Linked DNA regions of Ovis aries. The protein of the gene in region 2 purifies or fractionates together with the protein of the main gene of each other region. This does not show direct contact. Links are inferred from orthologs where the notes say so. Each region holds a gene or a part of one and is shown on either strand. Other genes may lie near its edges. The genes, in order: CCT8, ILK and SDF4.

The links.
Region 1: the proteins of ILK (region 2) and CCT8 purify together in Homo sapiens (affinity purification with mass spectrometry; 4 studies listed by BioGRID and IntAct, with this or other methods). This does not show direct contact. The link is inferred for Ovis aries from reciprocal best matches to the Homo sapiens genes ILK and CCT8.
Region 3: the proteins of ILK (region 2) and SDF4 purify together in Homo sapiens (affinity purification with mass spectrometry; 3 studies listed by BioGRID and IntAct, with this or other methods). This does not show direct contact. The link is inferred for Ovis aries from reciprocal best matches to the Homo sapiens genes ILK and SDF4.

Annotation. Positions count from the first base shown.
Region 1 is NC_056054.1:127,699,087-127,702,832, reverse strand, and holds the start of CCT8 (T-complex protein 1 subunit theta), read right to left. Parts: upstream 2,596-3,746; 5' UTR 2,537-2,595; coding exon 2,477-2,536; intron 551-2,476; coding exon 460-550; intron 1-459. UniProt on the Homo sapiens protein: Component of the chaperonin-containing T-complex (TRiC), a molecular chaperone complex that assists the folding of actin, tubulin and other proteins upon ATP hydrolysis.
Region 2 is NC_056068.1:46,202,913-46,206,658, forward strand, and holds the start of ILK (integrin-linked protein kinase), read right to left. Parts: upstream 2,606-3,746; 5' UTR 2,418-2,605; intron 2,096-2,417; exon of another isoform or gene 2,091-2,095; 5' UTR 2,069-2,090; coding exon 1,980-2,068; intron 172-1,979; exon of another isoform or gene 1-171. Other genes in the region: RRP8 (ribosomal RNA-processing protein 8), read left to right, coding at 2,868-2,966. UniProt on the Homo sapiens protein: Scaffold protein which mediates protein-protein interactions during a range of cellular events including focal adhesion assembly, cell adhesion and cell migration.
Region 3 is NC_056065.1:50,591,804-50,595,449, reverse strand, and holds part of SDF4 (45 kDa calcium-binding protein), read right to left. Parts: 5' UTR 3,618-3,646; coding exon 3,313-3,617; intron 1,379-3,312; coding exon 1,242-1,378; intron 948-1,241; coding exon 834-947; intron 1-833. UniProt on the Homo sapiens protein: May regulate calcium-dependent activities in the endoplasmic reticulum lumen or post-ER compartment. Isoform 5 may be involved in the exocytosis of zymogens by pancreatic acini.

The DNA.
Region 1 (3,746 bases), on a different chromosome or scaffold from region 2:
CAATCAACTTAAATTATATTGACATGTACAAAGACTAAAATTATTTACTTGAAAGTGTGTTTTGCTTATTCCATAAATTTGTATCAATTAATTCAGTTGATGGGAAGCAAGAGAGAATTTTTCTCCCTTAAATTATGTCATTTTACTTAAGAGAACTATTCCACAGCTGTAACAATGGTACTACCTCAAAGGTGAAAGCACCATAACTTTTCTATCCTCTCAATAGGACAAAAAGTAACATTTTGATTACAACTTTTCTAAAAAGATCCAAACTGCTGATTAAAGATTAGGAAAACTGTACAGGAGTTACTGAACTGTGAAATGATTTTCAACACTACAGTGTATTATGGCTAAAATTCTCAATTTACATATAATATCCTCAAACAAGTTTCAAAGAACTACTACACAAAATTATATTATAGTACTGTATTTTTTTTTAAACATGAATTTAGAAATTACCATTTGGTCCATATGCTGTACGAGTTGTTTGGGCCAGCTCTTTGCAAGCCTGTATGTTCCTGTACACAGCCTCTTCTAATCCTGAAAAATGCTGTAGAAGAAAATTTCTGATTAGGCAGGACAATGAATCTCAATAATTTCTTCATCTGTAAAATAATAGTACCTGTCTCAAAAGACTGTTGACATTATCAAATGAGATTTATGTATGTAAAGCATGGTGTTTGGTGTTCCTATGATACCAGATACCATCCTAATTCACAGATTTGTCCACAAGTTGAATGAATAAGGCATGACATTTTTAGGGACCATGAGTACCTACTTACACATCAAAACATAAAGCTTAATTTTTTTTAGTTTAGTGAAAAGTGCAGAGAAGAGTGCTAAGCCTGATTAGAGAAAGCATATGAACCATTGCAGATTATAAAAATACCTTTCCAGAGTCTACCAATTCTTTCTAAAAGCCGAAATGTGGTATGAATGTGATAAAACCTGAGCACTGTAGAGTCAACAGGTCTATGTTCAAAGGGAATTAACATATTTGCCTTATACATTTTTAGAACTAAAGCATACAGATTTTGAATTCTCATTTGAACTGAAACAAACTGTTCGTTTGTACACATTAATTCCAACGTGTATACACTGAAAACTGAACTGCTCACAGTACTCAAATTTTCAAGTTTTACAATGAACTTCTTTTAGACATGGGATTTACTTGTGAGTCTCAGATAAATTTCAAGAGCCTACTGTTCATGTGAACATCTTTTTTCTTACTGTTTTAACAAGTCAAACTCACTTCATCCTCAGTGAGTTTGGTCCCTTAGCCTGAAACATTTCTGCCTTTAATCTTGGCCACTAAGCACAGAGCTGAGTTCTTTCCTTAACATTTTATTTACTGTTCTACCCCAAACTTTCCTTTATAATTTTTTTTTAGAGGCGCACTTTCAATTTCCTTTATCATTATTTGAAATTATCCTTCTGCTTATTTGGTCACTTATTTCTGCCTCAGAATAAAAAAAATACGGCCACTTCCCTTTTAAAAAAAAATTAGTTCATGTCATTTTCAGCAAAGCTCTTTCACCAATACTTACAGTAAACCTCCTTACCTACTAGAGTCACGTTATCCCCAAAGTGCATCCTCGCCAACAAGAAACCTAGTTCCCTCAAACTGTTACCACAAATGGAACCACAGTATCTACATTCGTTTAAGCACAGCAAGTCTGGGTGACAATAAGGGAACGCAACTATTTGAACCTAAGAGACACACTTACAGCAGTGTGTCTAAGACATTAAAAAAACAAACAAAAAACCATGCTGTTGAAATTACTTTCAAGATCTCGCCATAAAACAAAAGCTTTACTTAGCTCAGGGTGTCACTTACTCTGTTGGTTACAACTATTTCCGTCCAATCTCCCCAACTGAAAGATGAGGAAAGTAAGACCCAGAGGATTAAGTTTTACCTCAAGCTGGCTAAGTTCAGAACAGAGCCCATTGGGATTGTAACTAAGATTTATCCTATAATGCACTATTTCTGCTAACTAAATGGGGAGCTCGCCGTTTCTCATTTGCAAGAGTTGCCTCGTCCCTCTCCTCCCTGGACCACCCGCTCCTGGAACCGTTTCGCAGTACTCAAAGCAACCTCACCTACGTTATTTCACCTACTTCGCGCCCCTCAAAGGAGAGCCTCCTCACTCCCGTTTTACTGACGGAGGAAAAATGCAAAGAGCGGCCTTCACACCCTGTAAGGCTACAAAGCAAAAAACGCGCCGCCTGCGGCCTCGTCGTCCACTCGCCGTTTCTGGCCGCTTGCCCCCCTCTCCCGGGTTCATTTAAAAAAAAAAACTCGAAATGCCCGGGGCCCTCCGCGGCCAAGCTCTCCAGAGAACACCTCCGTTTCTGGAATCTTCTTTCCCTCCGACCGCTATGTCGGGTGGGCACGCCGGGCCCGTTGGTAGGCTTTTCTTCTTGACTGCGGCCGCCGCGGCTCTCCCACCTCACTCCCTCTTCCTCCTTTTCTTACCTTCGCTCCCTCCTTGAGCATCTGGGCAAAGCCCGGGGCCTTGGGGACGTGGAGGGCCATGACCAGTCTGCAGGGTGCCGTTCACGCGCCCTCTCAGGAGATCCTGGAAGAAACGAGAGGCGCGCACAGCTTCCTGGGAACGTAGCGTGCGGCCGGCTCACGCCCCTCCTTTCTCTTCAGCCGGTCCCGCCCTTTCCCCCGGCGGCCTAGTCTGTGAAGCCTCGCGAGAAGGAGCAGTTAGCGCCGCCAGAACTGAGTTGACGATTCTCGAGCTGGTCGATCGATGGGGTGGCTCGATCGGGCTGGGCCTTCTGTCTTCCTGCCGACGCACGCGTAGGCTGCCTGGCGGATGTGGCTCGCTCCCGGAGGTCGTTCCCTTCGCTTAGACTCATAGGCTCTGTGCTGGGGACTTTTGAATGTTGTCAGTTTTGTCCTTGAGTTTTGCAACTCCTTCCAAGAGTAGCTTCCGTGTAAATCTTCCAGAGCTTCCCACGATATCAGCCAGGTGGGCACCCCTTTTTTCCCGAGGCCGAGGATCTGCCTTCATCCTCCAAATCTGTGGTTGAACTTGCGCTCAGACTTGGGCCCTGTAGCAGCTCTGGGGACTTGAAGGTGATAAATGAAAATCTGAAAGGAAAACTACGTACTGAGTGCTCATATGTGCCAGGCCCCGTTATTTGCTTTATGTGCGGTATCTTAGCTAGTGGTCAATCTTTTATTAATTACTTTGCAATTTACAATTTAGTTTGTACAAGATCACAGCGCTAGTAGTGTTAAAACTAGGATTTCTACCCAGATTAGATTGCAAAATGCACGTTGTTAGGCAACTGTATTCCTCTTTCCTCCTTTTCTTTTTTCTTCTGTTTTTTGGCCGCCCCACAAGCATGTGAGATCTTATTTCCCCCGCCAGGAGTGGAACCCCGCCCCCCTGCAGTGGAAGCATGATGTCTTAACCACTGGAACACCTGGAAAATCCCTTTCCTGCTTTTTCTTGGAAATATAAACCCCTTTTACTTTCCCACAGTCCTTTAAAACCTGACCTCTGTGTCATCCCACATCAGCACATGACTGATTTCAAAAGACTGAATAATGGCAGAATACTTCAAAGAATAATTTCACACAGTGAAAGTAATCCACTCTCCTAGTAGAAAATATAGACAACTGAATAGAACGTTTGGCTTGTCTTTTGTTCCTTGGTCAGACACTTGCAAATGATTTATTTTCCTTAAATCGGGACAGATTTAGTGTGTCTTAAGGAATAATCAAATGT
Region 2 (3,746 bases):
CACTGCCTTGAGGACAAGCATTATGCCTGATTCTGGACTTCTAGCACCCAGTGCGTGTTCAGTATAGTTCCTTAAATGAAGGAACCAAGTATAGTCTGGTTTTTTTCACTTGTTTTCCTCTGAAACGGCTCTCACAGAGATCATTAAATACATAAATAATTGTAAATTCAATGGTTACACTTTAGTGCTCAAGTTCTTTGACCTCTTAGCAATCTAGAGTACCACTGACCACTCCTTTCATTGAAACATTCACTTCTTTAAGCCTACTCCAGTACTTTTGCCTGGAAAGTCCCATGGATGGAGGAGCCTGGTGGGCTGCAGTCCATAGGGTCGCTAAGAGTCGGACACGACTGAGCGACTTCACTTTCACTTTTCACTTTCATGCGTTGGAGAAGGAAATGGCAACCCACTCCAGTGTTCTTGCCTGGAGAATCCCAGGGACGGGGGAGCCTAGTGAGCTGGTGTCTGTGGGGTCGCACAGAGTCGGACACGACTGAAGCGACTTAGCAGCAGCAGCATATTTTCCTGTTTGGTCTTCTAGGTTTCTCATCCGGTTTCATATCCACCTCTTCAGGTGCCATCTACGTGCTGTGTGTGTCTGTGTGTGCATGCGTGTACATGCTTAGTCATGTCTGACTTTGCAACCCCATGGACCAGCCTTCCAGGCTCCTCTGTCCATGGGATTTCTCAGGCAAGAATACTGGAGTGGGTTGCCATTTCCTACTCCAGAGGATCTTCCAGACCCAGGGGTTGAACCCGCATCTCCTGCCAGCTCCTGCCCTGGCAAGTAGATTCTTTACTGCTGAGCCATCTGGGAAGCCCATCTTCATGCTGCTGCTGCTGCTGCTGCTAAGTCGCTTCAGTCATGTCCGACTCTGTGCGACCCCATAGACACCAGCTCACCAGGCTCCCCCGTCCCTGGGATTCTCCAGGCAAGAACACTGGAGTGGGTTGCCATTTCCTTCTCCAATGCATGAAAATGAAAAGTGAAAGTGAAGTCGCTCAGTCGTGTCCGACTCTTAGCGACCCCATGCACTGCAGCCTACCAGGCTCCTCCGTCCATGGGATTTTCCAAGCGAGAGTACTGGAGTGGGGTGCCATTGCCTTCTCCAGTCATGCTAATATCGCCCAAATCTTTGTCTCCAAGTCAGATCTCTCCTGAAATCCAGCAGCCCACTCCACATCCACTTTATTGTCACTTAAATGTGTGCAGAGTGGAACTCACCACCCTTCAGCCTTGTCCTTCTCAATAAAAGGAACCACTATCTACCCAAGCCAGAACCCTGATCATCATCTTTGACCTCACTTTCCACACCAAGTCTCACCAATTCTTTATCCAAAAGATCTCAGGAATTTGATCACTTTTTTCTTTTTTGCCTGTCCCAATTCTAGTCTAAGCCATCACCACTTGAGATGGACTAGGCAGTTAGTTGCCTCTCTTCACATCACCACTTGCTCTTCATAAAGCATCCAAGATGACACTTAACAAATGGACAATCTCATCGTACCATTACATGGCTCTAAACCCTTGCCCTTGCAATAAAAAATTATTATAGCCTAAATACTCTTGCATGATCTGACTGACCCTTGCAGACCTTTCCAGTCTTAACTTCTGTCATTCTGCACTTGTGCTTAGAGCTTTAGCCCACAGAAGCCCAGCGGTTTTCTCTCCTCTAGCCATATGGAGCTCCGGACAGTTTCTGGCACTCTCTGCTCCGTGTCTTGCCCCCTAGCTTTTGCCCATGAGGTTCACTGAAGTTAGAATACTCTGCAGATTCTGCCTGTAAATTCTTATTCAGTCAAGATTCAGCTCAAACAACAGCTTCCGGTGTGGAGACCCTCTGCCCCGCTGACAGGCTGTTTAATCCTCATCACACTGAATAGGAAAGTAAGCCGCCCGCACCAGAAGTGAGCACCCCACAGAGCGGAGAGGAGCATGTCTTTGCCCTTCCTCTCGCCCCCCAGCCACCCCAGCTCACCCCTGGTTGAGGTCGTTCTCCGTGTTGTCCAGCCACAGGCGGACCGCAACCGCGTTGCCCTCCCGGCACTGAGTGAAAATGTCGTCCATAGCAGCGTCCCGGCAGAGTCCCCTAGACTGGGAAAGTGTGGGAACTGTAGAAGGATCTTGGGGGGGGGGGGGGTGAGCCCCAGGCTTTGTCCCCTACAGGAGAGAAGTGTGGTGTTGGGCTGGGGGTCTGGGCTCTGCGTCCCCAGCTACTGGATGTCTGTAAGGAGTTAGGGAGGCAGCGGAATGGTCCTGGACTGTGTCCCTTGAGCGCGAGGGAAAGGCGGATCGGGCGAAGTAGGCGTTGATGAAGAGGTAGTGTCTTCCGAAGGGATGTCACGAGAGCAAGCACAGAGACCCTACCCGCGAACAGAGCTGGGGGGTGGGGGTGGGGAGTTTAGGCGCCGTATACCCTGGAGGAGGCGATCGGAGGTCCTTGCCGAGGATGGCCCTCGTTCCCGACTCGGAACCGAGTAGGTGGAGGGAGGGGTGACCGCCTGGTAAAGCTCGAGCCTTGGGGAGGGGGCACGGGTGCCCCCACACTCACCGGGACTCGGGCTAGAGGAGCCTTCTCCGGGGAACTCCCGTCCGGCCGCGCCCGCCGCCCGGCCCCGCCCCTGGCCCTCTCAGGCCAGCGCGGGCCTCCTTCTCCCGGCCCCTCCCTCCCGCCTTCCTTGCCCTTCTAGCCCACCAGTGTCTAAACTCGATGGTTTTCGGCACTGCGCCGGCTGCTCTAGCCACTTCAGCTCTCACTCTTTGGTTTCCTGCCCTGTTCCGGCGTCTCTGAGCGGTCTGATTCTTAGAGACGTGGTCTGCACGTGGAGAAGCGGGTGGATCCCGCAACCTTGCGCTCCCCAGCCCCATGTTCGAGGAGCCGGAGTGGGCCGAGGAGGCCCCTGTAGTCGCGGACCTCGGGTCTGTAGCCTTAGGGCTTCGGCCCACGGCAACCTCTCAAATCAAGGTGAGTGGCCCTGCAGGAGTACTCAGAACAGACTGCTGGATTCCGGAGCTGGGGCGCGCCGCGTGTGTAATTAGGGGGAGGGGGGCCGCTTGCAGCCTCCCCAGATCCGGAACTTCCAAAAGAAAGTGACGTTGGAACTGAGAGAGAATTGGTGAGTAGAAGTTAGTGAAGCAAAGAGGGTTTCTTGGAAGGAAAGGCATGTGGAGAGACCCGGGTCAAGGGAGCATGACACAGAATGAGAGGCAGTGTGGTAGAAATTGGAGGGCTACGTTAGAATATTTGCACGTTAAAGATAGAAGCCAATGGAGTGTTTTAGCAGGGGGATGATTTCTTCAGATTTGCGTTTTGAAAATGTCACTGGTTGCCGTGTGGAGATTGAAAAGAGCAAAACTGAATGGCAACGAGGGCTGTCAGTGCCGCTGTTCAAAGGGAGCTGGAGCTGAGGGAGTACTGAGAGTCTCCAGGATGAGGGATCCGTCCAGTGGGACTTAGTCCAGAACGGCCTCCCAGACAGTAGTCCTCCTTTAAGCCTCTGCCGATGTGAGGGCTGCTGCACTTGCTCAGGCTCTTTCTGTCCTTCAGTCAGCCTGTGACATGAAATCTGCCTGCTTTATTCTCTCCTCTTCAACCCCTCGACCCACTGCTGTAATCCCCGCCACTGGCCTCTGTCTGCAGCTTGTCTCTTTCAGTGTTTTTTTTTTTTTTCTTTCGGTTCTTTACACTGCAACTGGAGGCATCTTTAATACACACATGTGTGATCATGTCACTCTTATTTTCAAA
Region 3 (3,646 bases), on a different chromosome or scaffold from region 2:
TAGAAACGCCAACCCCAACAAAGAACAGTGGTGCCCACAGTGCATCTACAAATACCAAATACAGCAGCACTGGCCCTCCCAAAGCAGAGGCAGGCAGGGCCACGGGCACCCGCAGGAGGCCACGATGCACTCAATCCCGACGGCCAGGCGGGCACGAGACAAACGGGGAATGCCTCAGGAACAGCTGGAGCAAGTCCATCAAGAGATGACAACACACTGATGACAACGGCGGGGATGACGTGCCGAGGAAAGACCGAACGGGAGACCACAGATGGCGTGCTACGCTCTGACAATGCCCATCGAGCCGAACCCGACACCTGGCTGAGAACAAACCCCGAGGGAGGGATGGGAGGGCAGAGCTGAAGACAGCAATCACTAAACGTCCTAACAACACTTCAGTGATGCTTCAGAACTCAGCTAACAGGCATCAAATTGTGTATCAGTGAGACAGGTTTTTAGAGGAACTTCTCTGAAAAGCTAAGGGGAGAATTACATCTGTCGCCACACTCAGTAGCACGGTCGCCAGGCACCATCGGCAAGCGCCCCCATGACCTCACTGACTCTCAGGATCAGACCTCATCCAGGGTTGAGGACCAGTCCCAGCCGAGACCCACTTCCCAGTGCTCTGGTACCATCTGCCACCTCCTCCCCAGAGCTCAAGCCACTAGAGGCTGCCGTCTGTCCCTGCGCCTCCCCTGCAACGTGCCTTAGGGTCCTGGAGGCTCTGTCTCAAGGGCCTGCAGGAACACAGGCTGTGGCCACGTCTCACCCATGCCCCGCCCAGCACCTGAACTGTCTCGGTGCTACGCCAGCCGTGGGAGCTAAGCACTCACTCTCCTCATCGATGTTCAGGTCCCACTTATTCTTTATCTTTTCAGCAACTTCTCTCTCATTGTGGCCTTTGGTTGCCAAAAACTTCACCTTGTACTCATCCCAAGATACGTGGCCTGAAAGAGCAGACCAACCTGTTAGGAGCTTTAACAAGGAACCTTTTTTAAAAAGAGAATTTTAGTTATTTTAAGCCATCGGTCAAAAATCTTTGTGCCACGGGCAGCTATAGAGGCAGAAGCAGCAAAGCACCAGCTTCAAGTTTCATCCCTGAGCCCAGCCGTGCAGATCCTCATCTGCACAGCCAGTGGCACCCCCCACCCTCCCTCATCCTGGAGCCCTACTCCTGCCCATGAGCTGTCCTCTGCCGGCAGCCTCAGGCCCCTCAGGGTCAGGTCATGGGCTGGCCATACCGTCACCATCAGGGTCCACAGCTCGGAAGTGTGCCCTGCTCTCTGCAACAGCCTCCTGGAAGTGCTCAGCTGTTTTCTGCATGATCCATTTCTGCATCTCCTTGGCGCTGATCCTCCTGTCGGTGTTCAAATCCACCCTGCGGGCCCACAGGCTGCGTCAGACGAAGCCTCCAGGACCCCGACAGACAGAAGGATGGCCAGAGGGGCTCCACAGGAAGAATGAAACCACCACCAACAGTAACACATCCCACCCGAAGGGCACACAGGAAAAGCTGAGTAGATACGGGGGAATCAGGGAGCACGCTGGGCAGTGCGCCTGGCCCTATACCATCAGTCTTGGGACCACCTTGCTACAGGATGGGGCGCATCATCAACCCAGTTCTTCGGACCACACACTTGGGACGCAAGCCCAGTGAGCCCCAATAACAGGACTGGATTTCAGACACCAGGGGAAAGGCAAGTTGACACACAGATACAGCCAGCAAGACAAAGAAACAGCTGTAGATGCAGGTGTGTTGAGAGATGTGCACATGTGAGTGTGTATATGGCTAATGCACACCCATGGATGTGGCTCAGAACACACACGCATGTGTGACTTGGTGCACACAAATGTACACACAGGTTAGCATGCACAGATATGTTATCAAGTCCATGGAGAGGACTACAAGCAATGACACCCCAGCAGCAATGCCCACACCCACTGCCTGGTTCTTCATCTCTAAATCTCACTCTCCAATGAAATAAACTAGCGCTCCTTGGAGAACTGCGGCAGGAACATTACATGAGTAAGTGAAGCTGGAGTGGCTGGCAGTGCGAGGAAGGGAGGAAGTGCTTAAAACAAGGAGCTGGGGGTTGATGATGTCCTGGTGGCCAAGGATGGAACGGATGAGCAGCCAAGGCTGGAACAGGGAAGTAGCCAGACAAACAGCACAGAGCTGGGTCCCCTCCAGAGTGCAGACACACACCCACAAGTCCGTCCTCCTCATGGAATTCCAGACTACACGGTGGGTCTTCCCTGAGCTTAGCTCCCACCCCCAGCAGGGTGGGCTGCCTCTCCCTGAGTGGCTGCCAAAGAGACCAGAGACTGCCAAAGAGACTGCAACTCTCCTTGGCAGATACCACCTGAGCCATGTGACCAGGCATACAGCCCCCATGATGTCATGCAAACATCAGGTGCCCTGATGTGATGTGACAAGAGGGCCACCTCACTTCTGGGGTCTTCTTTCCAAAAACCCACAACCCCTGTCCAACTAGGAGAAAACACGGCAGACAAACCCCAAATCAGGAACATGCTACAAACACCTGAGGAGTCCTCCTCGTAGGTGTCAAGGCCACGAAAAGGTAGGATCCTGGATGGGATCCAGGGCAGAAAGAGGACCCTGGGGCAGCATGTGACCTGAAGCCTGGAGTACCGGGAACAGTAACGGAGCGCTACCGTGTTTTAGTTTCCACAAATGTGCCTCGGTTTGCAACTTTTCTGTAAATCTAAAACTGCTCCCAAAATAAAAACCTCGCTTAAGAAGTGCTGCGGCAACATTACTTCTGCTTGCTCGAAACTATGTCCTGAGGCTTCTTGTTTGCTCTGGTCCGGGCGGGGCAGGCAAGGAAACAGCAGTTCACACATGGCAAAAACATGGGGCCCCACGTGGGAGAGACAGGTGTGTGGGGAGTCAGCAAGAAGGTAAATGCAGGCTAGACACCCCTCGCCCCAAAACAACCCCGCCAGACACAGGATGTATAACAAAAATGTACAGTGTGGATGGACGGGGCTGGAGCACATCTGGTCAGCCCCAGGACATCCAGTCCCTTGGAGGCTAGTTTCTGCATTTCCCCACAACCTGGGGGGTTCCCCATGACCTGAACCCCACTCCCACCCCTGGGTGGGCACAGTGCGCAGCTCAGGGCTGCACATCCATGGTTGAAATGCTGCCAACTTCCCAAGAGCACGTGTTAGGGCTCCACCTCCACAACATGGCACCAAGCGGGGACTTGGTGCAAAACCAGGGCAGGACCAACAGAGGGGCTGAGGCCAGCCACTCCCATGCCCCCCACAGCTCCCAGTGACACCTACTTGGAGAAGATGACCATCAGCTTCCTCCGGCTCTTCCGAGGCTCTGCGTCCTCCTCAAAGTCATCCATGTCCTTGCCCAGGAAGACCTCCTGGTGGAAATCTTTGTTGAGGTGCCCATCCATCTCCAGCTTCACCCCGTTCAGGTGGTCCGGAGGCAGGATCTCGTTTTCCTCCCTATTACCTGCTCTCTCTCGAGCAGATGAGTGGTTGGCAGGCCGGGCGGACGCATTCATCAGAAGGACAACACCCAGGAGCCAGAGGCAGCAAGGAGCCAGGCCACAGAGGGGAGCCTGCCTGGAGGCCATGGCCGCCAGGGTCTGCGATGCGGGACAGG